7 linked regions of the Mus musculus genome follow. The protein of the gene in region 2 purifies or fractionates together with the protein of the main gene of each other region. This does not show direct contact. Links are inferred from orthologs where the notes say so. Each region holds a gene or a part of one and is shown on either strand. Other genes may lie near its edges.

Evidence for each region.
Region 1: the proteins of Sox2 (region 2) and Cct3 purify together in Homo sapiens (affinity purification with mass spectrometry; 3 studies listed by BioGRID and IntAct, with this or other methods). This does not show direct contact. The link is inferred for Mus musculus from reciprocal best matches to the Homo sapiens genes SOX2 and CCT3.
Region 3: the proteins of Sox2 (region 2) and Xrcc1 purify together in Homo sapiens (affinity purification with mass spectrometry; 3 studies listed by BioGRID and IntAct, with this or other methods). This does not show direct contact. The link is inferred for Mus musculus from reciprocal best matches to the Homo sapiens genes SOX2 and XRCC1.
Region 4: the proteins of Sox2 (region 2) and Arid1a purify together in Homo sapiens (affinity purification with mass spectrometry; 3 studies listed by BioGRID and IntAct, with this or other methods). This does not show direct contact. The link is inferred for Mus musculus from reciprocal best matches to the Homo sapiens genes SOX2 and ARID1A.
Region 5: the proteins of Sox2 (region 2) and Supt16 purify together in Homo sapiens (affinity purification with mass spectrometry; 3 studies listed by BioGRID and IntAct, with this or other methods). This does not show direct contact. The link is inferred for Mus musculus from reciprocal best matches to the Homo sapiens genes SOX2 and SUPT16H.
Region 6: the proteins of Sox2 (region 2) and Cul4a purify together in Homo sapiens (affinity purification with western blotting; 3 studies listed by BioGRID, with this or other methods). This does not show direct contact. The link is inferred for Mus musculus from reciprocal best matches to the Homo sapiens genes SOX2 and CUL4A.
Region 7: the proteins of Sox2 (region 2) and Myef2 purify together in Homo sapiens (affinity purification with mass spectrometry; 3 studies listed by BioGRID and IntAct, with this or other methods). This does not show direct contact. The link is inferred for Mus musculus from reciprocal best matches to the Homo sapiens genes SOX2 and MYEF2.

Annotation. Positions count from the first base shown.
Region 1 is NC_000069.6:88,307,135-88,310,634, forward strand, and holds part of Cct3 (T-complex protein 1 subunit gamma), read left to right. Parts: intron 1-2,026; coding exon 2,027-2,213; intron 2,214-3,500. UniProt on the Homo sapiens protein: Component of the chaperonin-containing T-complex (TRiC), a molecular chaperone complex that assists the folding of actin, tubulin and other proteins upon ATP hydrolysis.
Region 2 is NC_000069.6:34,648,661-34,652,794, reverse strand, and holds Sox2 (transcription factor SOX-2), read right to left. Parts: upstream 2,801-4,134; 5' UTR 2,380-2,800; coding exon 1,420-2,379; 3' UTR 334-1,419; downstream 1-333. UniProt on the Homo sapiens protein: Transcription factor that forms a trimeric complex with OCT4 on DNA and controls the expression of a number of genes involved in embryonic development such as YES1, FGF4, UTF1 and ZFP206. Binds to the proximal enhancer region of NANOG.
Region 3 is NC_000073.6:24,567,199-24,570,698, reverse strand, and holds part of Xrcc1 (DNA repair protein XRCC1), read right to left. Parts: intron 3,386-3,500; coding exon 3,127-3,385; intron 2,890-3,126; coding exon 2,773-2,889; intron 484-2,772; coding exon 390-483; intron 251-389; coding exon 121-250; intron 1-120. UniProt on the Homo sapiens protein: Scaffold protein involved in DNA single-strand break repair by mediating the assembly of DNA break repair protein complexes. Negatively regulates ADP-ribosyltransferase activity of PARP1 during base-excision repair in order to prevent excessive PARP1 activity.
Region 4 is NC_000070.6:133,691,486-133,694,985, reverse strand, and holds part of Arid1a (AT-rich interactive domain-containing protein 1A), read left to right. Parts: intron 1-155; coding exon 156-323; intron 324-915; coding exon 916-1,228; intron 1,229-1,835; coding exon 1,836-1,981; intron 1,982-2,077; coding exon 2,078-2,187; intron 2,188-3,500. UniProt on the Homo sapiens protein: Involved in transcriptional activation and repression of select genes by chromatin remodeling (alteration of DNA-nucleosome topology).
Region 5 is NC_000080.6:52,173,240-52,176,739, forward strand, and holds part of Supt16 (FACT complex subunit SPT16), read right to left. Parts: intron 3,487-3,500; coding exon 3,371-3,486; intron 3,275-3,370; coding exon 3,121-3,274; intron 2,131-3,120; coding exon 2,003-2,130; intron 893-2,002; coding exon 757-892; intron 665-756; coding exon 538-664; intron 351-537; coding exon 232-350; intron 1-231. UniProt on the Homo sapiens protein: Component of the FACT complex, a general chromatin factor that acts to reorganize nucleosomes. The FACT complex is involved in multiple processes that require DNA as a template such as mRNA elongation, DNA replication and DNA repair.
Region 6 is NC_000074.6:13,104,429-13,108,422, forward strand, and holds the start of Cul4a (cullin-4A), read left to right. Parts: upstream 1-1,194; 5' UTR 1,195-1,327; coding exon 1,328-1,475; intron 1,476-1,765; coding exon 1,766-1,881; intron 1,882-3,994. Other genes in the region: Pcid2 (PCI domain-containing protein 2), read right to left, coding at 347-382. UniProt on the Homo sapiens protein: Core component of multiple cullin-RING-based E3 ubiquitin-protein ligase complexes which mediate the ubiquitination of target proteins. As a scaffold protein may contribute to catalysis through positioning of the substrate and the ubiquitin-conjugating enzyme.
Region 7 is NC_000068.7:125,120,861-125,125,133, reverse strand, and holds the start of Myef2 (myelin expression factor 2), read left to right. Parts: upstream 1-1,473; 5' UTR 1,474-1,615; coding exon 1,616-1,749; intron 1,750-4,273. UniProt on the Homo sapiens protein: Transcriptional repressor of the myelin basic protein gene (MBP). Binds to the proximal MB1 element 5'-TTGTCC-3' of the MBP promoter. Its binding to MB1 and function are inhibited by PURA.

The sequences.
Region 1 (3,500 bases), about 54 Mb from region 2:
GATACAGATATTTTCATATAATGACCATGTCTTCTTTAAGCAGCATTGTTCACCATGCAGAGTACCTTCAAAAACACCTCCTTCCTTTCTCCTTTTTGGTGGTGGTGGGATTTCATTTTGTTTTTTTTTTGAGACAGGGTTTCTCTGTGTAGCCCTGGCTGTCCTGGAACTCACTTTGTAGACCAAGCTGGCCTCAGAAATCTGCCTACCTCTGCCTCCCAAGTGTTGGGATTAAAGGCATGCGCCACCACTGCCCAGCTTTGTTTTTTTTGTTTTTTTTTTTAGATTTATTTATTATAATTAAGTACACTGTAGCTGTCTTCAGACACTCCAGAAGAGGGCATCAGATCTCATTACAGGTGGTTGTGAGCCACCATGTGGTTGCTGGGATTTGAACTTCGGACCTTCGGAAGAGCAGTCGGGTGCTCTTACCCACTGAGCCATCTCACCAGCCCCCTTTTTTTTTTTTTTAAAGACTGTTTTTTTGTGTAGCCCTAGCTGTTCTGGGACTTATTCTGTAACAGAGACCAGGCCAGCCTCAGAGATCCTCCTGCCTCCTGAGAGCTGGGATTACAGATTTATGTCTCTATGCCCTGACCATCCATTCCTTTTCATTGTTAATTCACCCATCACTGCCTCCTCTTCCCCATCCCTCAACTCTTAGTCCACACTTAAACCTTTAACTCCCCATATTCCATCCTTTTACACCATGTGTTCCGTTATGTGCTCCCTCATTACGGACTCTCTTTTCCGCTGTTTTAATCAGGGTCTCTTTAGATTCTTTTTTTTTTTTAATTAGGTATTTTCCTCATTTACATTTCCAATGCTTTCCCAAAAGTCCCTCATACCCTCTCCCCTCCCTTTAGATTCTTAAGGGGCAGATTGAAGCAGGGTATTTCTATGTGTACTCCTGACTGGTCAACCAGGTCGACCTCAAATCTGTAGGGATCATGCTGCCTCTGACTCTGGAGTGCTAAGATTTAAAGATGTGTTCTACCATGCTTAGATCTTTGTTGGGGTGTGTGGGATATGTGTGGATGTGGGTGTGCATGGGTGGGTGGGTGTACCCGCATATGTGGGTATGAGTGCAAGTATCTGAGAAAACCAGAAATGTGACTCCGCTGGAGCTAGAGTTAACACAATGTACACAGGTCCTCTAGAAGAACAGCTAGTGCTCTTAATTGTTTAGTTATATCCCCATCCCCCACCTTTAGATTTATTTTTATGAATTCTAAAACGTGGCGTTTAGGTGCAGGTTGTATTGAATCCAGGACTTTATGTGTGTGTTAGCCAAGCACTGTACCACCAAGTTGCACCTCCAGTCGCAGAAGTTGTTGTTTTGAGACGTGGGCAGGTTGACCTGGAACTTAGTATATAGCACTGAAGATAGCCTTGAACTTTTCATCCTCCCAAGTGCTAGAATCATAGGCATTTACCACACTTGAATTTTGCAGTGCTTTGGGGTTGAACCTGGGACTGTTTTTCTCAAAACTGGGATCCATATTTCTCAGGCTAAAACTCCTGACTCTCTTGTATCCCTGGCTACTTTTTTTTTTTAAAATCAGGCAGTAATTGCCTATCTAGAACACTTATCTTAAAGACTTATTTATTTATTTATTTATTTTCTATGAGTGCACTGTAATTGTCTTCAGACACACAAGGAGAGGGCATTAGATACCATTACAAATAGTTGTGAGCCACTATGTGGTTGCTGGGAATTTAACTCAGGACCTCTAGAATAGCAGTTAGTGCTCTTAACTGCTGAGCCATCTCTCCAGCCCCCTAGAACACTTACCTTAGATGATGCTTTTGGAAGCTGTTGCCTCTTCCCTAAAATCTGTTTGGCCATGTAAAATGTTTTAGGAATTTTAGCAGTATTTGAAAGTTTAGCAAGATGTCTTGTCACTTTAACCACCTCATTCTGCCTCTTGGCGTGTTCTTGGCATGCTCTTATGCTCTTTGAGGCTTACATGAGTGACTGTGTTAAATGTTTTATGTTCACTGTTTTCTGGCTTTCTTTTTCCAGTACTCCTGTTGATGTCAATAACCGTGAGATGATGTTGAGCATCATCAATAGCTCTATTACTACAAAAGTCATCAGTCGGTGGTCCTCCTTGGCATGCAACATTGCACTGGATGCTGTTAAGACTGTGCAGTTTGAAGAGAATGGCAGAAAGGAAATTGACATCAAAAAATATGCAAGGGTAGAAAAGGTAAGCTTGTCCAGTATGTGCTTGAGAGTTAGGTGTCTGGCATGGTCATTCCTATTCAGAGTAGGGTGTCCTTATTTACTTAGAACTAGACAGAAGAACTGGACTACCTTAGAGCCTGGAAACAATAACCTAAGAGTATCAAGGAGAATTCCTGATACCATTTTTGGTTGCCTTTACTACCTTCCATACACAAGGTTTACAAGGGTAAGGAAAGACACTGATGTGTCCATATCTATGCCTGTGGGTACTAGCCACTGGTGAGTATATCAGTTTTATAAGTGCTGAGGTTGGTGAAATGGCCTAGCGGCTAAGAGTGCCTACTGTTCATGTAGAGGGCCCACATTTGATTACCAGCACCCTTGTGGTGTCTTACAGCCATCCATAACTCCAGTTCCAGAAAACCTGATTCCCTCTTTTGACCTCTGAGGTCACCAGGTACACATGTATTACACATACATGTAGGCAAACCACCTTGTTGGTCAGGGTTCTCTAGAGAACAGAACTGGTGAATATTAAAGAGAGCCTTTATTAGAGTGACTATTCCAACAGTGGCTGTCACCTGACAGAAAAGTGAGATTCTGGTAGGGGCTGAAGATATGGCTCAGTGGTTAAGAGCACTGACTACTCTTCTAGAGGTTCTGAGTTCAAATCCCAGCAACCACATAGTGACTCAACCATCTATAATGGGATCCAATGCCCTATTCTGGTGTGTCTGAATAGAGCCACAGTGTACTCATATTTTATTTGTTTTTTAAAGACTCTGGTACTCCTCCTGTACTCTAGGCTGGTTGTCTGACCTGGTCTTCAATCTACTTGGAATCCCAAAGAAGTAGATGCTAATGCCTCATCAGCAAAACAGTTTTTGCAAAAAATGAGTTTGCCAGAGAATGAGAGCAGGCAAACAGCAAGTGTCCTTGTCCTGTGTCCTTTTATATGGGCTGCCACCAGAAGGTGTGGCCCAGACTTAAAGTGCGCTCCTTTCTGACCTCATGATCCCATCAAGAAAAATCTTTCACAGGTCTGCTAGTTGCTTGGGTTTTAGTGAATTCCAGGTGTCAGTTGACAACCAAGATTGGCCATTACATACTCATTATAATAAAATTTGCTTGGGCAGTGGTGTCACACACCTTTAATCCCAGCACACCAGGCAGAAACAGAAAGGTCTCTGTGAGGTGGTTTTTTGTTTTTTGGGTTTTTTTTTTTTGAGACAGGGTTTCTGTGTAGCCCAGGCTGTCCTGGAACTTACTTTGTAGACCAGGCTGGCCTCGAACTCAAATCCGCCTGCCT
Region 2 (4,134 bases):
GTATCTCATCTGCTAAGCTACACGAAAATTTTCAGAATTGACTCGTTCTGGCAACAAGTGCTAAAGCGAGCTTAAGCCCACATCGCGCTTATTCACGCTGCTCAGGGAAGGAGGGGGGTGAACTTACAATATATGCTTCTAGTTTCTATTCTAGAAATGTCAACGCATTTCAGTTCCCCGTTATTAATCATTCGGCCATTTTTTTCTTCTGCAGTTAAAGCTAACAGACATTGCTGGTAACATCAAGATCTTGGTGGCTGAACAGTTATCCAGTTCCCCAAGAAGTTATGTATAAGCATGCTAGCCACAAAGAAATGAAAGACTCAGGCATAATTTCAGTGTCCATATTTCAAAAATTTATTTATCTCAAACTGTGCATAATGGAGTAAAAACTTAAGTTGAAAATGTAGCTGTTATAAGGATGGTATTAGTTCAAATATATACATGGATTCTCGGCAGCCTGATTCCAATAACAGAGCCGAATCTTTTAAAATACAACTACGGAAAATAAAAGGGGGGAAAAACCTTAAAATATCACAATTTACAGAAATATTACAAACCATAAGAAAATATTTCAAACACAGTAATTCCATATTTTTTATGTGAACAAAATGAAAGGGTAGGATTGAACAAAAGCTATTATAAATTACCAACGATATCAACCTGCATGGACATTTTTTTTTTGCCTTTAACAGTAAGTTAAAAATTTAGTACAATCTAGAACGTTTGCCTTAAACAAGACCACGAAAACGGTCTTGCCAGTACTTGCTCTCATGTTTTCCTTTTGTACAATTTTAAAACTAAAATGTTCAAATCCGAATAAACTCCTTCCTTGTTTGTAACGGTCCTAAATTTAAGCTGCAGAATCAAAACCCAGCAAGAACCCTTTCCTCGAAAAATATTGGCAAATTCTCAGCTTATAAACAATGGACATTTGATTGCCATGTTTATCTCGATAAATACTGTACAAAAGTTGCTTGCAAATATTAAAACTTTTTTTTCATCGCCCGGAGTCTAGCTCTAAATATTACTGGTAAAGACTTTTGCGAACTCCCTGCGAAGCGCCTAACGTACCACTAGAACTTTAAAAAAAAGTTTTGCGTAGTTTTTTTCCTCCAGATCTATACATGGTCCGATTCCCCCGCCCTCCCCGCCGCCCTCAGGTTTTCTCTGTACAAAAATAGTCCCCCAAAAAGAAGTCCCAAGATCTCTCATAAAAGTTTTCTAGTCGGCATCACGGTTTTTGCGTTAATTTGGATGGGATTGGTGGTTTTTTTCCGCAGCTGTCGTTTCGCTGCGGAGATTTTTTTTCCTTTTGAGCATTATCAGATTTTTCCTACTCTCCTCTTTTTGCACCCCTCCCAATTCCCTTGTATCTCTTTGAAAATCTCTCCCCTTCTCCAGTTCGCAGTCCAGCCCTCACATGTGCGACAGGGGCAGTGTGCCGTTAATGGCCGTGCCGGGCACCGGGCCGCTCTGGTAGTGCTGGGCCATGTGCAGTCTACTGGGCGCAGCGGGCTCCGGCACCTCGGCGCCGGGGAGGTACATGCTGATCATGTCCCGGAGGTCCCCGGCCTGGCAGGGCGCCCTGGAGTGGGAGGAAGAGGTAACCACGGGGGGGCTGGAGCTGGCCTCGGACTTGACCACAGAGCCCATGGAGCCCAGCGCCATACCGGGGGTGCCCTGCTGCGAGTAGGACATGCTGTAGGTGGGCGAGCCGTTCATGTAGGTCTGCGAGCTGGTCATGGAGTTGTACTGCAGGGCGCTGACGTCGTAGCGGTGCATCGGTTGCATCTGTGCCGCGCCGTGAGCGTTGAGGCCCGGGTGCTGCGGGTAGCCCAGCTGCTCCTGCATCATGCTGTAGCTGCCGTTGCTCCAGCCGTTCATGTGCGCGTAGCTGTCCATGCGCTGGTTCACGCCCGCACCCAGGCCGGCGCCCACCCCAACCCCGCTCGCCATGCTGTTCCCGCCGGGGGCCAGCAAGCCTCCGGGAAGCGTGTACTTATCCTTCTTCATGAGCGTCTTGGTTTTCCGCCGCGGCCGGTATTTATAATCCGGGTGCTCCTTCATGTGCAGAGCGCGCAGCCGCTTGGCCTCGTCGATGAACGGCCGCTTCTCGGTCTCGGACAAAAGTTTCCACTCCGCGCCCAGGCGCTTGCTGATCTCCGAGTTGTGCATCTTGGGGTTCTCCTGGGCCATCTTACGCCGCTGCCCCCGGGACCATACCATGAAGGCGTTCATGGGCCTCTTGACGCGGTCCGGGCTGTTCTTCTGGTTGCCGCCGGTCGCCGCCGCCGTGGCGTTGCCTCCTCCGCCGCCGCCCCCCGAAGCTTGCTGCGGGCCCGGCGGCTTCAGCTCCGTCTCCATCATGTTATACATGCGGGCGCTGGGCGGGCGCGGCCCGCCGGCGGCCGCCAACCCTCGGCCCGGCCGGGACTGTGGGGGCCGCGCTCGGGGGCCGGGATGCAGGGGCCGCGGGCGGGGGCCTCGGCGTGCACGGCCCTGCGCGGAGATCTGGCGGAGAATAGTTGGGGGGAAGCGGAGCTCGAGACGGGCGAAGTGCAATTGGGATGAAAAAACAGGCGCTCTCCTCCTCGGGCCGCCGCGATTGTTGTGATTAGTTTTTGGAAAGGCTTAAGCCTCGGGCTCCAAACTTCTCTCCTTTCTTTCTCTCTCCTCTTCTTTCTCCCAGCCCTAGTCTTAAAGAGGCAGCAAAGTACTTTTCCCTTTTTGCAAACACTCTCTTCTCTGCCTTGACAACTCCTGATACTTTTTTGAACAAGTTAATAGACAACCATCCATGTGATGGGGGCTGTCAGGGAATAAATGGGTTTCCGGCGGCCAATCAGCGAGCGCCGGCTCCTGCGCCCGAGCCCAGCCTCGCCAGAGGGTTTTGCATGAAAGGGGGCGGGGCCTGCCGCGCCGCCGAGCCGAGCCCAGCAGAGCGCTGTGCCCCGAACCGCGCGGGGGAGGCGGGCCCGCAGCCGGCCGCTGGGGAACCTTTGTATCCCCCCCCCCCGCCCCCCGTTTTCAGCAACAGGTCACGGCGCACGCCTGTTCGAAGGAAGTGGGTAAACAGCACCAAGACGACAGCTCCTTTCCCCCATGCTACGGAATATTGGCTCTCTCTTGGATACATAAGGGTGGATGGGGCGCGGGAAGCTGGGGCCAGGGTGGGGCAAGGCCCATGGGTGGTTCAGGGCGACTGTCCAACTAGTATTTCAGGAAGCTGGCAGAGCCGGAGGTGGTGTGCCATTGTTTCTGCGCTCATCCGCGGCACTGCGCTCTGTCGCAGCCCCTCTTCCAACCTTGTCGCCAGCACCCACTCACCCCCTCTTCTCACCGTACAGACGAGAAGTTAGACCCAAGCCTCGGGCCTCAGCGCCCTCCTGGCTTCCGTGTCATCGGCTCGGTTCCCAAACACGAGTCCTCTGCCCATGTAGCTGACTGTAGAGCAGAGCTAGGACCAGGCCTTGTTCCCAGCCTTTTCCTAGGCCGACTCAGGTGTGGCTCAAGGAACCGCAGCACGTGTCCTCAACCCCTAATTCCCTACTCCACCAACCTGCCCCATCCAAAGGGTGCAAAGGCAAAGCTGGAACTCTGCTCCCGCTCTTTCTAACTCCCAACCCTGACACAAGAGGATTTTTAGTGGTGGCAGTTTCAGAGGAAACCTTGGGGACGAAAGCATCAACGGAAAGAAGCTCCCGAGTGCAGGGGATGGGGGGAGGGTCACGCAACTTCCTGGCATCCCACCGCGAGGCGCGGAGGTGGCATTTGGGCTGCGCTCACAAACTCCCTCCCACGCAGCGTTCTCAGGATGGGGCAGCGCAGCCGGCATTGCCCCTGCTGACAGGCACGGTGGTAGTCACGAAGGCCCGGCCGAGAGGCGCCGGGGCCTGGGAAGCGCGCGGGGTCCAGAGGTGCAGGTGCAGGCGGAGAGAAGGCCCGCCGAACCCGAGGAGCCGGCACCAAGCAAGCCCAGGCTGTGGGAGAATGGGCTGGGGGCGGGGGTAGGGGTTCAAGAATCTTGCCTGCCCAGGACCCGAGAGGGTAATTTTAGCCGATCTCCCATTGTCCAGACGTAAAGATTTCAATCGGCAGGCGCTCAAAAAGCCCAGAGCCACAGCCCCACGT
Region 3 (3,500 bases), on a different chromosome or scaffold from region 2:
CCCTCCCCCTCAGACCCAGAAAGCTAGACACCAGCCCTGCCCCCAAACCCAGGGCTCAAGGCCCTAGCCCTCCTCCTCCCTCAGACATAAAGCGTGTAGACCTCTCCCTCAGATTCTAACCTGACTCTTCCCCCTCAGTGTCACTATTGTCCTGGGGTCCTGGTGACGGTGCTTTGGTCTCTTTTGGGGTTGGTGGCCTCGGGGGTGAGCTGGGTCCTGCTGCCTGGGTCTTGGCTTTGGGCTGGGGCCGCTGAGGAAGAAGGGCTAGGTGAGGTTGGGGCAGTGTGAGGCTCTGGACAGCCAGCAGCGGGGAGAAGCAGGAAGCTGAGGTATTCAGCAGACCTGGTTGGCACCCAGTATTCCCTCCTGGCCCCATAGGGGCATCAGACCTTTTGGGGAAGCTTGGGAGCTTCGTCTTCGCCGCTCTCACTGTGAGAGTCCCCTTCGTCCTCACTGCTGGATCCAAGGCCTGCCATGAGGTACCTAGGGGAGGAACTGGGCCTCAGGCAGAGGACTGAGAAGTAGAGGGAGGTGGGGATAGAGAAGGAATCCTGCTGCCCTCTGACCCCTCCCAGCCCTAGAGGGGCTCCACTACGTGCCAGGCAGTTCAGCCACCCCAGGCTCTTTCCCTCATGGGGAAGATCTGTTCCATTTAAGGCAAGAAAGAGCAATGGGGGGGGGGGGTCTACTCTTTGAGGATCAAAGGAGAATGCCAAGCAATGGGGGAAAGTCTCAAATGCAAATTCAGGTGGAACCCCACATCTGGGGTCTCTGCATCTGTACACCCAACCAATCACAGACCAGAAAGTCTGTGTCTGCACTCAACATTCAGACTCCGTTTGCTCGTCATTCCCTAAAGATTTACATGGCATTTACATAGTGCTGGATTCAAACCACAGAATGATTCAAAACATGGAAGAGCGCCGGGCGGTGGTGCACACCTTTAATCCCAGCACTCGGGAGGCAGAGGCAGGCGGATTTCTGAGTTCGAGGCCAGCCTAGTCTACAGAGTGAGTTCCAGGACAACCAGGGCTATACAGAGAAACCCTGTCTCGAAAAACAAAACAAACAAAAACAAAAAACAAAAAACCCAAAAACATGTAAGAGCACACTGGCCTAGTGAGCAGGTCTCTAATCTCAACTACTCAAGAGGCTGAGAGGCAGGATGGCCTGGGAACAGAGTGAATTGAAGTCCAGACTGAACAACTTAGTAAGACCCTCCTACACTCCAAATCAAAACCAAAAAGGCTAGGGATATACAGCACGGTGGTAGAGCCCTGACTAGAACCCCCAGTGAGGGGCTGGGGGTGTGGCTTAGCATGTGGGAAGCCTTGGGTTCAGTTCTTAGACATCCACACTCACAGTACGTGAGGCTGGAGAGACGGCTCAATGTTTAGAGCTTATACTGTTCAAAGGATCCAAATCTGGTTCCCCAGGACCCACATCAGGTGCTCACAACTGCCTGTAACTCTAGCTATAGGGGATTTGACACAACTGGTCTCCTCACGTACCTGAACACACATGTGCACCACCGCACAGATACACATACACATAATTTAAATAATAATCTTTTTTAAATGTATGAAAAGATTCTATGCAGTTTTTATGTAAATACTCTAGCATTTTATATAAGCAACTTGTATATATTTAAAGACTAACTTTTTTATTTTACACGTATGAATGCTTTGCCTGCACATATGTCTATGCATCATATGTGTGTGCTTGGTGCCTATAACAGCCAGAAGTCATCAATCACTCTGAGACTGCAGTTACAGATGGTTGAGAGTTGCTATGTGAGTGCTGGAAACTGAGTCAAGGTCTTCTAAAAGAACAACCAATGCTCTTAACCACTGAGCCATCTCTTCATTTTCAACCATCCTAAGATTTTTGATTCTTGGTACTGTGTGTGTGTGTGTCCTAGATTCAAGTCCCTACTGTGGCACACTAGCTAACTATCCTTACACACCTCAGAGAATAAAGGCGCCCACAGACACCCTCCGCACATCTGTTCAGGATGATCACAATACTGAAGCTAGATAACTAGCTCCCAGGGATCTGTGGAATCCAAGCAGGATGTGGAGTCCCCACCACTTCCAGATCAACTGACCAACCCACCCACCTCCCCTCACAGTCCCCGACATGAATGTGCCAGGGTTAGCCCTGCTTATTAAACAGACTCAAGCCACGACCTCACTGGGATCGGAGTCGGCTTCTCTCCAGCTCCACAGCTCCTGCTGTTGGCAGCCAGTGGTTCTTCTCCCGCCCACTGCGTCAGGAGATGGATGCTCATGCTGCCCATCCCTGCTTGCTCTGCAGCCCTGCATGCCCTCTGCCTGGCTGCTACCCATGCTTCTCATCCCGCGATCACTGTGCCCCTCCTGAGCTCCTCAAAGCTGGGCTCTAACACTTCTGACCCACTCGCTGAAGTGAGCACAGGGCTCAACCCCAGCGTCCTCACTTCAGTCACAGCTCTGCCTGGCACCCAAAGGATGCCAAAGGATCAGTTCTGAGGAATGGCATACAGCCCTGAGGCTCCCTTCCACCTCTGCACAGCCACAACCCACAATGTGCACAAAGCAGCCGTCATTACAAAATCCAGTGGCCCACCCAGGCTAGTGACTTCCCATCTGCAGGCCCAGCCCGTCTTTGAAAACGGCTTATGTTGGTTTGAGATCGCCTGAGCTACCCAGCAGGCCCCAGGCTCTTCATTGCCTGCTCTGGGCTAAGAGGCAGGTGTGTGCGCTGCCTAAGAGGCAGGTCGTGGGGCCTCACCTCCGGGAGGGCAGCCGGCGCCGCATGTGGTGACAGTCCAGCACCCACTCTTTACGCACAATCCGGCCTCCAAGGCCCAGGACCTGGCTGTATTTGGGAGTGTTGGCAAAGGCACAGCTGGGAGATGCAAAACAGGAATGTCAGACATGATCTGATGGACAGCTGAGACAGAACAGAGATGGAGCTTAGGGAGGGACGCAGAAAGCTGAGAACTAAGGGGGTAAAGAAGTGGGGGCTGGAGGGCACAAAGAAGCAGGGAGGGAGGATAGCAGAACAGGGACAGATGAAGCTAGCGGGGGCATGCAGGGTAGGGCAGGGCAGGGCAGGGAACCGTGTGGCAGGTCAGAGGCCTACATGAGATGTGTGCTGTCTGGGGTCCAGTCTGGCCGATACTTGGCCCCCAGTTCCAGGGCCTTGTCCCGGAGCTCTGAGCGGAAGGGGTTCTGGAAGCCACTGAGCACCACCACCACCCCTTGCAGGATCTTGCCAAGCTCTTGGGGTCCAGTGCGAGCCCCCCTAGGCTCTGTGCCTTCTCCCCGGGGCTTCCCTGGGACGGCTCTCTGTGCTGGGGTAGAGGCTGGAGCTGCAGCTGGAGTACGACTAGGGACAGACACTGGGGAGAAAAGAACAGAAATTAGGTTGGTGCCCCATCGAGCCCCAGCTCTTACAGGAAGTCAGGCTTTCCGCCTCCCTTCTTAGGATGGCAGGTTCAAGACCACAGCCCTTCC
Region 4 (3,500 bases), on a different chromosome or scaffold from region 2:
AAGTTAATATGTGCCCCATGTCTTGTCACTTTCAAGGAATCTAAATAGGCAGAGGACAGTAGCAGATCCCATGCCAGAGGCGTTCAGCGGAGTGGGGAAGCCGTTTATTCCCATTATACTGAGCAGATAATTATTTGGATACATTCCACACATAGGTTATATGCAGAGGAACCCCCAGATGCCCCAGTACACTTCCCCTCAGCCTGGCTCGGCCTTATCCCCACGTCAGCCGTCTGGAGGACAGATGCACTCGGGCGTGGGCTCCTACCAGCAGAACTCCATGGGGAGCTACGGCCCCCAGGGCAGTCAGTATGGCCCACAAGGTAAGTGTGCTACCCCTTTAGAAGGAAAGAGAGGTACTGTGTTAACGGCTGGGTTAAAAGAGTAGGGCATCCTTCCTTACATCTCCCCAGCCGAGGCCCTAGGGAGGAGTGGGGCAACGAATGGTTCATCGTGTCTTCACTCCATTCTGTCACCTTGTATGGGCCATTGATGGGCCAGCACAGGTGCTTATTAGATACAGGCGCTGTGCCATGACTGGATGTGCCTTGATCATGCATGCATGCACATAACACACAAATTAAGAAAATTTTCGGTGGGAGGCAGGGAAAATACGTAGAAAGGAAAGAATTCTATTGAATGCTGAAAGGCCTAGATAGTAACTCTGCCATCATTCTCTGTGCTGGGCAGTCAGGGATTGTGGCTCAGTAATGAACAAAGCCCTGGGATTCAGTGCTCAGCAAACCCCACCCCAAACTGGGGATGGGGCTAGAGATGTTTTCCTCCCTTAATGATGGATTTGTTCATTTTCATGACCCAGATATTGATGGATTCTAATTGTTTGGAGTTTTAAGAATTGTAGTTCTGGGACTTGCTAACCAAGGCTTGTGTTGTTTCCTCCCCACCTCTCCCCAGGAGGCTATCCTAGGCAGCCTAACTATAATGCCTTGCCCAACGCCAACTACCCCAATGCAGGCATGGCCGGAAGTATGAACCCTATGGGTGCTGGAGGTCAGATGCATGGGCAGCCTGGAATCCCACCTTACGGCACACTCCCTCCAGGGAGAATGGCTCATGCGTCTATGGGCAACAGGCCCTATGGCCCTAATATGGCCAATATGCCACCTCAGGTTGGGTCAGGGATGTGTCCTCCACCAGGGGGAATGAACAGGAAAACTCAAGAGTCTGCTGTTGCCATGCATGTTGCTGCCAACTCTATCCAAAACAGGTAAGGCCTGGGAGTGAAGAGAGGGTTCTGGTGTACAAGCGCATGCATGCAACGGAACTTGTATGTTATTGAAAGTTCTTCTAAGCACTGTGTTTTCTTTTTAACACACAGTTTAAACACATGCACAAATGTGCTGGTTCTTCAGGGTGCTAATAAAAATTGATATGACGAAGTATCCTGTGTACAGAACTTAAGCTAGGTGTGGTACTTTGTGCCTGTAGGCTACTTAGGAGTCTGGGCAGGAAAGAGTAATGGGAAAGCGACTACTGGAGGCTTATAGGCTCTGCCATAAAGCGATCCTTTAAGTAGAAACATAGCAACTTTAGGTGTTGCCTATGGGAAAGTGGTGTTTATAAAACATCATAAGACCTTATTCTTCAAGGGTTATTCCCCATCAGACTAAGCTAGTGCTTGCTTTACAGAGTTCAGGCCTTCCTTGAACCTTTGTGGCAAATAGATGTGTGGCCTCGGTTAGATTTGTGAGACTTAAAACTTTTTCTATTCTTATTAGACAATTAATTCTACTTTTTTTTTTTCCTCCTCATTCCCAAATGTAGAGGTTCACTGTGTCTCTAACCTTCTCTTTAATGTTCATCTTCTTCCTTAGGCCACCAGGCTACCCAAATATGAATCAAGGGGGCATGATGGGAACTGGACCTCCCTATGGACAGGGGATCAATAGTATGGCTGGCATGATCAACCCTCAGGGACCCCCATATCCTATGGGTGGAACCATGGCCAACAATTCAGCAGGTCAGTGTAATTGAGTGCTCATCACAGGAGTTTCTTCAAGAAAGATCTTCAAGCGGTAGTAAAATCTACTGGACCTGAACTGGTATCTTTTTACAGGGATGGCAGCCAGCCCAGAGATGATGGGCCTTGGGGATGTTAAGTTAACTCCCGCCACAAAAATGAACAACAAGGCAGATGGAACACCCAAGACAGAATCCAAATCTAAGGTTTTTATCTTTTGCCCTTTCAATTTTGTATCTTATCCCCTTTGCTGAATGATACAAGGAAAATTGAGAGCCAGGGAGTGGTGGCATGTCCCTTTAGTTCAGTACTCAGTAGGCAGAGGCAGGTGGATCTCTTGAGTTCAAAGCCAGCCTAGCCTAGTCAATAGAGCAGGTTCAGGGACAGCCAGAACTTCACAGAGAAATCCTGTCAGGAAACACAGGGTGCTAGAAGAATAAATGAAAGAGAATGACAAGGTTTTAGCATGTTATGGTGCTGGTACCCACAAAGGCTTCCATTGCCTCAGTATGTCACTCCCATTGGGCTCTGTAGTATACACTCCTCTGTGAGACTTGGCCTCTGACGCATATGCACTGATGATGAATACTGTAGGCAGCTAGCTGCCCCTCTCTTCCTAGACTTTACTCAGAGCAGCAAGAATGTTTGGTACTACAATTCTACAAGCAGAATAGTGACGCAGGTGGGGGTTGGGGTCTTAACCTCCCTGTAGGTTAGATCTAGATGTGTTGGAGTTACAGGGATTTATGAAGCCACCTGATTGGAAGCCAGCCACCTCTAAACAGCTATCATGTTTACCTGATGATCCCCTGCTTGATTGGTTTGGTTTGGTGTGTTGGGGAGTCAGTGGGTTGAGACAGGGTCTCACTAGGTAGCTCTGGATGACGTAGAACTCACTATATAGACCTGGTTGGCCTTGAACTCACAGAGATCTAGCTGCCTCTCTGCCCCCTCTATTTGCTGGGATTAAAGATGTGTGCTGCCACACCCAGTCCACATCTACATTTTAAAAATGCAAAGCTGCAGGGAACATAGAGGGGATAGCACACTCCCATAGTCCACTCCTCAGGAGCTAGGGGCGGACAAGGCTCTTTGGAGACCAGCCTAGTGTATAGAGTGAGTTCTAGCACAGGCAGGGCTACACAGAGAAACCCTGGCTCAAAAAAACAAAACAAAGTTAGGGTCTATTGAGATGGTTCTGTGGTTAGGAACACTGGTTGCTCATCCAGAGGATCTGAGTCCACTTGCCAGGCCCACATGGCAGCCCACAGTGTCTGTAACTCCAGCTCTGGGGGGCTCCATTGTTCACGTGCCCTCTTCTGCTCATGTAAGCACCAGACATATGTGTACTTAAGATCAAAACAGTCCTTGGCATGAAGTAATTTTTAAATTTTAGCATGAAAAGGACAACTGTGAAATAAAAACAATCACACAATTAATCAACGCTAAAGTCTGCGTATCTCATGAACTTCTGTGCAGTTAGAACCACCGTACCGAAACTGCAGCTTGGCAGCGGATT
Region 5 (3,500 bases), on a different chromosome or scaffold from region 2:
AGATAGAGACATTTCCTTTCGTGGTGTAGTCGCTTAACAGGTACCCTGATTCCTGCAAATAACTTTAACCATACCCCTGTATGCAACTGTAATCAAAGTCACTAGCCTACTGTACTTTATAATCATGTTTTTAAAAACCTCTTTACCGAATATAGTTTTTTAAAATAAGTTAGAAAAATTCAGTTTTTGCCGAGAGCTCTGAATCACGCTAGCTTAGGCAGAAGTGTGTACCTTGAGGTGAAAGTGCAAAACAATAATCATCTCGCCATCACAGGGCTGGAACAGCGCATGCTTGATATTATTGTACAGAATATCCACCTTGTCTCCTCGAACAGATGTGAATCGGAAACCTGTGGCAAACAACAGGGTCACCAAGTGTTAAGCAGTGTCATCTTAGGCTTGAACAAGGTCAGAGAGACACCATTTATCAAGTCCCCATGTGTTCTGGTCATCTTGTCCCCTGCTTCCTTCCATCACTGTAGCATGTTCTACTCTGGGAAGCTACAGTCCAGCACAGGAGAGGGCGTCCGTACATACCATTGACATGAGCCTCCAGTGAGCCCTGCATTCTCTTCTGGGCAATGTTTGGACGAATGTACAGGTCTTTCAGTTTTGGATTACTCCGGTTTAGGTTGATCACCAGCGAGTCTTGTTTTACAATGCCCTAAGGGTCACAAAACAGTGTGTGCATGGAGCCTTCATACCAACTTCCAAAGACCTGTCTGTACAAAGGTGCCTAGTTGTGTTCAGACTCACCTCTTTTTCTTTCTCTTCAGCTTCTCTGGTCTTGTAACGTTTTTGTACTTCTTTTATAATTCGGAACGCATTCTGAAGATTTAAGGCGGGTACAGTCTGCTCTCCAGGTGCTTTCATATTTGAAGCTCGGTATGTACTGTAGAAGAACATTTGTATAGATGTTTATCAGGCTAGGAAACCCAAACCCATCATTACAGTTTTTAAGTGGCTTAATTTCTCTATTGTGTGTATGTGCCATGTGTTTGTGTAGAGGCCAGAAGTCAACATTGAATGTTTTTCTTAGTAACTTTTGCCCTGTTTTAGGAGACGCTCTCTCTCAGATCTATCTAGATGGACTGGTTAGCAAATTCCAAGGGTCCTCTCCCTGTCTCTACCTCCCCAATGCTGGGACTACAAATGTAATCTACTGCACCTATATTTATGTATTTTAATGTGGGTCTTGGAGCCCTGAACTTCAGTCCTCAAGCTTATATGATAAGCACTTTACCAATTTTTTCCAAGTCTATCTTTTAAAAGACATCATATGTAGTGCAAACGGGCTTTGACCTTGCTATGTTCAAAGGCTGGCCTTAAACTCCCAATCCTCCTGTTTCACCTCCTAAGGGCTACCATGCCCAGATGGCTTAACATGTTTTTAAAAGAAAAACCACCACTAAATATGGGAATGGTAGGAAATCAGAAAAAAATATATTTTTCTTTTAAGTGGAAAATATCAATAGCTAATTCCCTGGAGTAGGGAAACTACACTTTTATTTTTTCAAATTTTATACAGTATCTCCCAATATTCTATACCACTCCATGATGGAAGAGAATTCAATGCAACATAACATTTTCTTTCTTCTTTTTTTGTTTCTATTTTGAGATAGTTCTCGCTATAGTTCAGGGTTGCCTGGAATTAATTTTGTAGACCAGGATGCATTGAATTTGTAAACTTTTTGCCTCAGTCTCTTAAATGTGAACTTCAAGCTATGCTGTGTGTTGCCACAGTTGGCCCACAGATGTTTTGTTTTTTTTTTGCCTGAGGATTCAATTGCAAAATGTGTAGTGTGATATAAAATAGCCATATGAGAAATATAAATTAGGATCCATACTTAAAACATTACAAAGTCAGCAATGTAATCCTAAACAAATGCCACCAAGGAAGGCTTTGCAGTGGGTTCTTGTGAAAGGATGTAGCAGGGAATGGACATGTGAGGTCATTGCACCACTAGCACAGGTTGGAGACGTTTGTTTCCCAGGGACTCACATTTCCTTGACAAAAGTGGCTTCAGGGTTAGGAAAGATGTTGCCCTCATTCCTGCCCAGAGCACTGCCTGGACAATAGAAGTTGATTCGCAAGTAAGTATAGTCTCCTTCGACAGACATACTTATGTTCTGTTCAAAGAAAGAGAGGAAAGTTAGCTTTGTTACTAGATTATAAAGATGCTAAAATGAAGTTAGCAGTTAGGAGTATGAGGGACTAAGAACAAAGCTCAGTGGCAAAGCATTTATCTAGAGTGGGCAAGGGCCTGGTTCAATTCCTAGCTGCAGAAGAAAAAGGCCAGAGTTTGCTGTTCCTTCAGCTGAACCTATAAAACTGAACCAAAATCGAGATAGAAATATTCAGCAGTGTTTTTCACATAATTAAGAAAGTGTTTCCAAAAAAAAAAAAAAAAAATCACCTAGCTATAAAAGTATCTTGTGACAGGAATACAATTTAGGATTAAATAATAGTTACAAATTCAAGGAAAGACACACACATGATAGGGGCTTGAGAGATGGCTCAGATGGCAAAGTGTTTGCTGCACAAACACAAGGAACCAAGTTTGGGGCCCTAACACCCACATAAAATCCAAGTGAGGTGTGCATGTCTATAATCCTAGGGTTAATGGTGGGCAGAGACAGGGATTTCCAGAGCTTGGTGGCCAGCCACTCTAGCTAATCATTGGGCTCAAGTGTCAATAAAAGATCCTGCCTCAAAAAACAGGGTTGCAAGAGAGAGAGAGAGAGAGAGAGAGAGAGAGAGAGAGAGCGCACACAAGCTATCTATGAACTTAAGACACCAGACACTGACATATGGCACATGCATCTTATACCCCCAGGGACACACACACACACACACACACACACACACACACAAATACACTCAAACATATACAGCACAAAACAACAACAATAACCCCCCACCCCCCAACTGGTAAATGGATTCCTTTTCTGGTCTAATTTAGCTTCCTACAAAGTGAAAACTGAAAGGGAAGGAAAACAACAGTGGGAGATAAAGGAGAAAGCAGACAATCAGCACACTGGAGTGTGAAAGGTCAAGGTAAGAGAAGATCAGAGAATTAGGCAGACACACTAGAACCTTGGATACTTGAATACTGGTACCTTGATTGTGGCAATATGGAAGGGTGTGGCAATGCCAAACACAGGCATTATCACAGTCTCATATTTCTTATCAATATAGATCTTCATCTCCCGAATATGTGGTTCCTTAGGCATCAGAGATGGGTTTTTATAGGACACATTAGATTTTCGAGCTCTGGAGTGGGGTTAAAAATAAAGCAAAAAGACAATTGAGAAATCCCTACGGTCACATCATCTCTAGACTATCACCTTGCTCAGTGTGGACTCCTACTTCTGAATCTGCTGTTCCCCTTTCTGCTCTGTCAGCCTCCTCTTCGCTTCCTCGTTGAGCTGTGCTGCCAGTTCCTTCTGATGTGCTCTTCGCTTCTCTTCTGCAGTCATCTCATTCTAGCAAAGTGAGA
Region 6 (3,994 bases), on a different chromosome or scaffold from region 2:
CCTCCACCCGGATGCAACAGTGTTTGCCTGTGCCACTCCCAGGCTTTAAGTAAAGCCTTGATGGGCACCGCTGCCAAGAGACACAACGTGCTTCGTGCGGACAGCAGCGCTGACTACACAGACAACCGTTTCTACAAGTGGCCCCGATCTTGCTACCTCCACCTCGGATCCTCCTCCTCCTGGTCCACCGGGCAGCACCTGCAACTTCCGAACAAGGCAGGCTGCCCACCGCGTGCAGCACACCCTCCTCGCCTCGAGGCCAGCCGCAGGACCCCCGGCACCGTCCGACCCGGCCCCAGGACTCACCCCTCGTGGCCCGTAGGCCAGGATACCAAGCGAAACCCACCTGCTGTAGGTACTGGTTAATGGTGATGTGCGCCATAGCGGCGGCCGCGGGTGTTGAGTGCCTCACTTCCGGCGCAGGTCCGTTTCCGCTCCTTGTCCCCACACGGTAACCTCTGCACGTTGGTTCCGGAGCGGGTGAAGGTGGAGCGAGCCGAGCCGAGCCGAGCCGAGCCGGTGGTGAGAGCACTTCTTTGGGGGCAGCTGTCAGCGCGGTCGCCGGGACGCCTCGGGTGCGGCGGGGGCGCGCGCGAGGGCGGAGGACTGACGTGGAGGAGTTCCCAACCGACTTGGGAACGTGTCCCTGGTCACGTCGGTGTGCTAGCGACCCGATTCCTCGCACCCCTCTCCCATGAGGGTGACCCGATCCCCAACCCTCCGTGTGCAGAGGCGCTCCTGACTCTCCCGGAACCAAAGTCCAGAGCCCACTGGGAAGGCGTCCCGCGCACTCCTAGGATGTGTTCCTGAGTCCTCCCACATCTCACACTGGGGCACCCCAGATAAATGGGTGCAGAGCATCCCGTCCCCAACCCCTCGGCGCGCTAGCGCACGGAGCAGCATCCCTGAGCATCCTAGGTGTAAGGTGATCCAGGAGGCAAGGTTGCCGGGTGCTTTTATCCACTCAAGTCCTCGCCGGGGTGTCCTCGTCACGGCCCTCGACGTGACGTGGGGCGGCGAGCTCCGGAGCCCTCGGTGCAGGTGTCACGGCGCCCTCTCGCGAGCATTCGTTGTAGAACGCCTGCGAGTCCCCGAGCCCTCCTTGGGCGGAGTTCGCGCATAGGAGGAGGAGCCGGATCGTTCCGGTGCGCGCCGCGGCGGTTGGGCCTCGGGCGCGCGGACCCGGCCGCGAGCAGAAAGAGGAGGAGCCGAGCGCTCACGGGCGGAGCCCGACAGCAGCAGGAGGAGGAGCCGGGCGCGCACGGAGCGGGCGCAGGGCAGGAGGAGGAGCCGGGCGGCGCGGGGCGGGGCGGCGTCCGGCCCAGCCATGGCGGACGAGGGCCCTCGGAAGGGCAGCGTCTCGGCTCTCATGGGCCGCACCAACGGCCTCACCAAGCCCGCGGCGTTGGCCGGTGGCCCCGCCAAGCCGGGGGGCACGGGAGGCTCCAGGAAGCTGGTCATCAAGAACTTCCGAGGTGGGTGCGCTCCGGTGAGGAGCGAACGGGGCGGCCGGCGGGTCGCGCGCTCGGACAGGGCCTCCTGGGGCTGCCCGGCAGGCCCTGTCCCCGCGCCCCGGCCCGCCTGGTTCCCGCACTGTCCCGTCTCGGCGCCGCAACCCGACTTGTCCCTGCACCTCACGCTCCGCCACGTCCCCGCGCCCCAGCTGGCCCCGATCCCGCACCTCCTGGCTAGCCCGGCCGGGCCCTGCCTCGGTGCCCCGGCCTGTGCTGTCCCCGCGCGGCCGTTGACCCTCTCTCCCCCACAGACAGGCCGCGGCTGCCTGACAACTACACTCAGGACACGTGGCGGAAGCTTCACGAAGCGGTCAAGGCCATCCAGAGCAGCACATCCATCAGGTACAACCTGGAGGAGCTGTACCAGGTGAGCGGCGGCGAGGGCCTGCGAGCACCTGGCTGGGTTCCTCCTCCAGCAGCCACCGGGGCCAACGCTAGGGAGGCCCGCCCGTCCGCCCGCCCGCCCGGGGAGAAGCTGCGGCCCGAGCCTTCCCTAGCGGAAGCCGCGAAACCCTGGGTCAGCAGGTGTTTCTATGGATCGCCGCCCTGGATTAGTGCTGTGTGTTGAGGCTTAGACCAGGCTGCTTAGGAGGTGTACGTTTTCCCAGCGCCAGAAGAAAGGAGGTGTTTGGAGCTAAGAGGCACAGAGCCCCCAGCAGTCTTCAGTGTTATCAGAGTGCCAGTGTGTTATACATGGAACTCAGTACGGCCCCACTTGCTAGTAGGGTCCCTGGGTTGTGACACACACACCCCCTCCCCAACACACACACACTGTTTTGTAGTTTAATTATTGCAAATAAGGTTGCAGACAGATTCTGGTAGGGTTTTTGTTTTGTTTTGTTTTGTTTTTTTTTGAGACAGGGTTTCTCTGTGTTGCTCTGGCTGTCCTGGAACTCACTCTGTAGACCAGGCTGGCCTTGAACTCAGAACTCCACCTGCCTCTGCCTCCCGAGTGCTGGGATTAAAGGTGTGCGCCACCACGCCCGGCGATTCTGGTAGTTTTAACTTAAAGACAAGTTGTGTCTGCAACAGGGGGGGAAAATCATCCGAAGTACATTTTGCTGTTTCAAGCACACTTTTCTGTCATGGTTTTATACAATAACTGCTAAATATTCTGTGTTTTAGTTTGTGATAGAACAAATAATTACTTATATGTTACTTAAAAGTTACCTAAGAGGCTTGTTTTATCCTGGTTACAAACTGAGTGTATTGTAAGTTACAGAAAGCACAAGAAGAAAAGTAAGCAGTGGTACCCGAAGGAACCTGTGGCAGGCCCATCACTCCCAACCCCAAACTCCCAAATCCAAAACTTGTAGTGCACTCATGAAAAAAAGACCCACACCTGACTTCCTCTGCTGGGCCTCAGACAGAACACAGTATATGCTAAAACTGTTGAATAAAATGACCATCGAGCTAGGGCCAGCCAGATGACCCAGTAGGTAAAGCGCTGGCAGAGCCAGCTTGACAACTTGTGTTCGAACCTCAGAACCCTCAAAAAGGTGGAAGGAGAAAACTGACTGGAGACGCATCCCCAGACCTCCAGCCTCTTGACGTGACACAAGCACCCACACATACACTTGGTGTACACACACAATGATAAAACAAGGGATATGGGGTACGAGTCAGCTTTGTGTCTGTTTACACTTGATTCTCAGTACCCAGATACATCATTGTGTATGTGCAAGTATTAATCCGGAAGAAAAACATCTGAAATCCACAACACTAGTAGCCCCAAGCATTCTGGGTAAGGGACCACTGGCCGATGGTGACGGATTGGTGTATATGTGTCTGTTCTTTGTCTTAAGTTTGTGAGTTGATTGTGTATTGAAGGAGAGGATTTTATTTAAGGTTTTGTTTTTGTTTTGTTTAGACAGGGCTCACTGTGTAGCCTTGGCTATTCTAGAACTCACTGTGAACAGTCTGACTTACAGAGATCTTCCTGCCTCTGTCTCTTGGTGCTGGAATTAACATTATGCACTACTACACCCGCCTAAAGATTTGCTTTTATTTTTATTATTTTAAGTATGTGCCTATGTGTAGGTGTGCATATGAATACAGTGTTGGGGGCATGTGACATGTGCTCCAGTAGGTTTATTTTGTTTATTTTATTTTTTTATGAGAAGAGAGAGTCGGTTGGTTTTATTTTTTACGAGATTCACTGTGGGGCTGGAGAGATGGCTCAGCAGTTAAGAATGCTCTTACAGAGGTCCTGAGTTCAATTCCCAGCAACTACATGGTGACTCACAACCATCTGTCATGGGATCTGATGCCTCCTTCTGGTATGTGTGAAGACTGGGACAGTGTACCTTATAACTATGGGGAAAAAAAAAGGTCTCACTGGGTATTAGTCCCGGCTGCCGCTCATGTGCCGGGGCTATAGGTTAACTCTAACATACTTGTCCCAGTAGATTTTAATGGCCTAAGATAGAGTTGTTTGCCAGCCGCTCAGTGAAAATGTAGACTGTTTCCCTCCCCGGTAA
Region 7 (4,273 bases), on a different chromosome or scaffold from region 2:
ACGTGGTTTTTTTTTTTTTTTTTAAGATAGGCTTATTGGGGTTGGAAATTCCAAGACACTGCCCCCCAAAGCTCAGTCATTAAGAATAGCTCTTTTAATGGGATATTTAAATTGGCATACTCTGGAGTATGGGTAAGTCTCATGTGTGTGTTTAATTAAATTGTGCTTTTAGCTCGATTACAGCTCTTGAATAGTGCTGTTTCCCAAAGTCCTCCTCCAGCAGAGCTCTAGTGTCCCTTCCGAACCTTCTATTATGGTTTGGTCACGATGAACTCTTGAAAAGTGTTGAAATGTGAAAAAGGTTTTTGCAGGAATCTACTAGTCCAGGACTGTCAGATGGAGTTCCTTGGAGAAATTCAATGGTAACAAAAGAATACATGGAATAGTGAATACTTTGAAATCTAGGGTTGAGGTGGGGTGGGGTGGGTTAATCTGGTTTCTCCTTGATTGAAACCCCATGGGAGCCTTAAGAGATAGACTGCGATACTGTAGCACTTGGCCCTAGATGAAGTGTTTTCTTTAAATCTCTACCTTGCAGGGAAGGAACTGCTGTCTTTACCTGAAGAGAAGTGGAGAACTGAAATGCCTCAGCCGAGGAGAAAGCCTAATTTTCTCTGCCAGATTCCAGCACCTGTCTGCTAACTGCAACCATTAGGCCCCAGGGGTGACAGTACAGAAACACAAAAGTATCTGTTGTGTTTAGGACACTATGTGGGTAGAACGCCAAACTCAGAATTTTGTAGATGACTCTCATCTCTAATAAACTGTGTCTGCCTTATGCTGTTCACTTTTTTTTTAAAGAAGGAAACATTTGAGGAGGTCTTAGCTTTTTTTTTCAACTGAAAAAGGCCATTTTAGTGTGAAGTGTAATCATGACACTCAGGTTTATGAATCTTTAGTATTTAGGGGTAAAATCTATAATCCAAACCAAAATATGCATTTGTAGCTAGTCTTGTATAAGACTTCTTTTAAAACAATTTGTTTTTTCCATGTGTGCGTGTGGTTTGCCTGCATGTATATCTGTGCACCACAGACATACCAGCGCCTATGGAGTCAGAAGAGGTCGTTGGAGCTCCTGTATGTGGGTGCTGGGAACCGAACCCAGGTCCTTGGCAAGAGCAGCAAGTCATCCTAACTGCTGAACTCCTCCAGCCCCCTTGTACAGGTTTTCTTAAGAAAATGATGGACTGTCCAAATCGATAGCTGCCCCGAGAATGTAAAAACTTCGACCTCTTAGCTGATTGCTAAGGTCTACAAAAATCTTCAGCCCTCAAAGAAAGTGGTCAACTTGTCCTCAGCTACCGGTGCTCGCTGGCGGGTTCGTAGAGCATCCACCCGCAGAGATGGAGCTGCCATAGTCCTCTCATCCAAAGGCCCCGTCCCCGAGGACCCCCATCTCTGCCCCCCCAGGCAGCCCGCGCTCCCTCCGCAGGTGGCCGCGCCGGAGCCCCGCCCCCACTCACTCCCCAAGTCGCGGGGCCTCGTCCGCTCTCGCGAGATCCCGGCCGCCGAGCGCTCGGGGCCTTTTCAAATCGCGATCCGTTACCGCTTCTCCGGCCGCCGCCATTGTAGCGCTCGGAGCCCTCATCGCGGCCGAGGCGGAGCCCGCGGCGGGATGGCCGATGCCGACAAGTCCGAGGCGGCCGCGGGTGACGACGGCTCGCAGCAGCAACCGGCTGAGCCGCGGCGAGACACGCACCCCGGCGAGCCCGAGAAACCGCCGCGCAGCAGCGCCAACGGCGTTAAAATGTATTGTCTCCCCCGGGCGGCCGGGCGGGAGGGCGGCCGGGCAGGGCGGGAGGCGCGGGCGGCCCCGGGGCGGGAGCAGGTGCGGTGCTGGCGGCCCCGGCCTCGGGCGCGCGGAAAAACGGTCCCCTTTAAAAGGCCCGAGGCTAGCCTCATCCTCGGGGAGGACCCAGGGATGACATCATCGGTCCTTTCCCCTCCCGGCCCGGTTCCGAGCCCCGGTGAGGGCCGCGTGTGCGGTGGTGGCTTCCAAAGTGTTAGAGCTCACCGAACCCATTGTGTTCCTCTTGATTGGCTTTCGAAAAAGGAGGACTTGGTCTCCTCCACCCACCCGGTGATGGTTGTGGGCCGTGCAGGCTGGTTTATTTATTCATTTTTTTAAAAACACAAACTCAGTGTGTAGTGGCCTTCATTTTACTATAATTCACTTACGATATAATTAAATTACTGAAATATAAATCTGAATTTGGCAAAACTGGGAACGCAACCCAGGGCCTCGTGCAGTCTCCAGGCAGGCGCTAGGCCACAAAATGACACCCCCCCTCCACCGAATGCAGTGCTTTTTTTGTAGAAGAAAACCCGAGGGCTGAAGGTTGGATCTGTCATCTGTGTCTGTAGAGAATTTAGTCGACGTTAATCCATAAGATCTTAAGTTGTAAGGCAGTAGGATAGGGGCAGATTGTGCTCGGCTGTCCTTGTCACGTGGGGCTATGTGAAGGCAAACATTTATTTTCCTATGGCTTATTCTGTAAAAACTGAAGTTGAAAATAATGCCAGTAATTTGTTAAAACACCCTCCACCTCTCCATCCTGCCACGGTAGAAAGCAGTGAACACATGCTTTCTGACATGAAGTCAGAAAAGGGAAAATGTCTTTCTGGCTTTTGTGTGGAAATACTTGAGGCAGTGATTTGGACCAGTCTGTTGAAACCGGCTGAATTGAATTGGTTGCAAACTAGATGGGGTAGTGCTCCTCAGCTTCTCTATGACAGTCTCGCTCTTAGGGTGACATCATTGTATATTTTTTCTTAACCACTGACAACGTATTTAAGAGGAATTACCCCAGTTCCCTGGGGCCTATCCTGAGCTTTAGAAGTTCAGTGTTTGCTGTTTTCCTGATGCCTATATTCATTTTTGAAATGATATATGATATATGTGGAGAGGCACTTTAAGAGCGTTCCATTAGACAGAGCCTGTTGTGTTACCTTTGAATTGGCTAGGAATACCTTAAATATGGACATTCGTCTCCCTACCCACCTGGTGACTTTTGAACAGGAAGCATCGTGTGAGCAGAACAGAATTTTGCAGGTATCAGATTTGCAGGGCTTGAAAGTCAGTGCAGTTTGCTCATGGATGGAGAGTGTGCATGCATCAACCACCGAGAAATCAGAAAGCAAGGAAAGCCTATCTCTTATGCCTGTCAGATCTTGGGCTTTTTCAGAGATTTGCTATTAAAAATAGAAAAAAAAAGTGGAGTGACTGTAACAATATAGTCACCCTCTGTGTCTTTGGATTCTGTATTCATGGAGTTAATGGTGAATTGGAAATACCCACATTGTATCTATATGGAAAGTAAGCATACATGATACACGCGTTGTTTTAGGTATTATAAGTAAGGCAGAGAGTGAAGTGTGTGTGAGATTGTGCTACGTCCCATGCACACACTGTGTTTTGGGAAAGGGCTAGAGTATCTGGACTCTAGCTGTGGGGTGCAATGGGGCTGAGGGGTACAGGGTTGTATTACTAATGTGTACCTAGTAGTGAGGGTGCCACTGTTTGTTTTTTTTTTTTTCCTGAAGAAAATAATCATTGAATCTTATAATGTTGGTATTTGTGAAGCTGGTATCTAAACTTCTATTAGACCCAAAAATACAGTGTCTACAGTTGCATTGCAGGATGGGAAAAGAGGTGAGAAAGAACCATTTTCTAATTTAAGGAGAGAAAATATAGGGCAATTGTTAACAGTAAATACAGATTGTTTCCTTATTCTAATTCATTCTTTCCATATTTTCTCAGTGTTGAGTAGAGACCAATGTACTCTAAGGAATTTCTTACACCTCTGCTGGGCCAGCGTAGGTAGTCACAGTGAATACTTAGGGACTTGAATCTTCTGTGAGTCTACAGTGTGACAACCTGTGGGGTGGTTGACACTTTGGGCTGATTACCATGCTTTCAATGATAAGTCATTAAAAGAAATTTGATAACCAGACATTGCTTTACAACATCCACTGCTTCGAAGTGAGCCATGTGCTGCTATTGGGACTGGAACACCTTGTATTAATGCAGTCACAGCAGACAGAGGGGGCTGTCCTTTTCATCCTGTCACCTTAAATGTTAAAGGTTCACTGAGTATCCATTGAAGAAATAGAGGAAGACATTTTGAGATCCTGAGACTCATGGAAAAGATTTAGTTGGCTTGTTCATCTCTAGACAGGAATTAAAGATCCTGTTTTCTCTGTCTACACTGAAGTGTTTTGGAAGGAAAGCAGTAACTATTTTGTGACTCTTCATTAGTCTTGTATGATTACA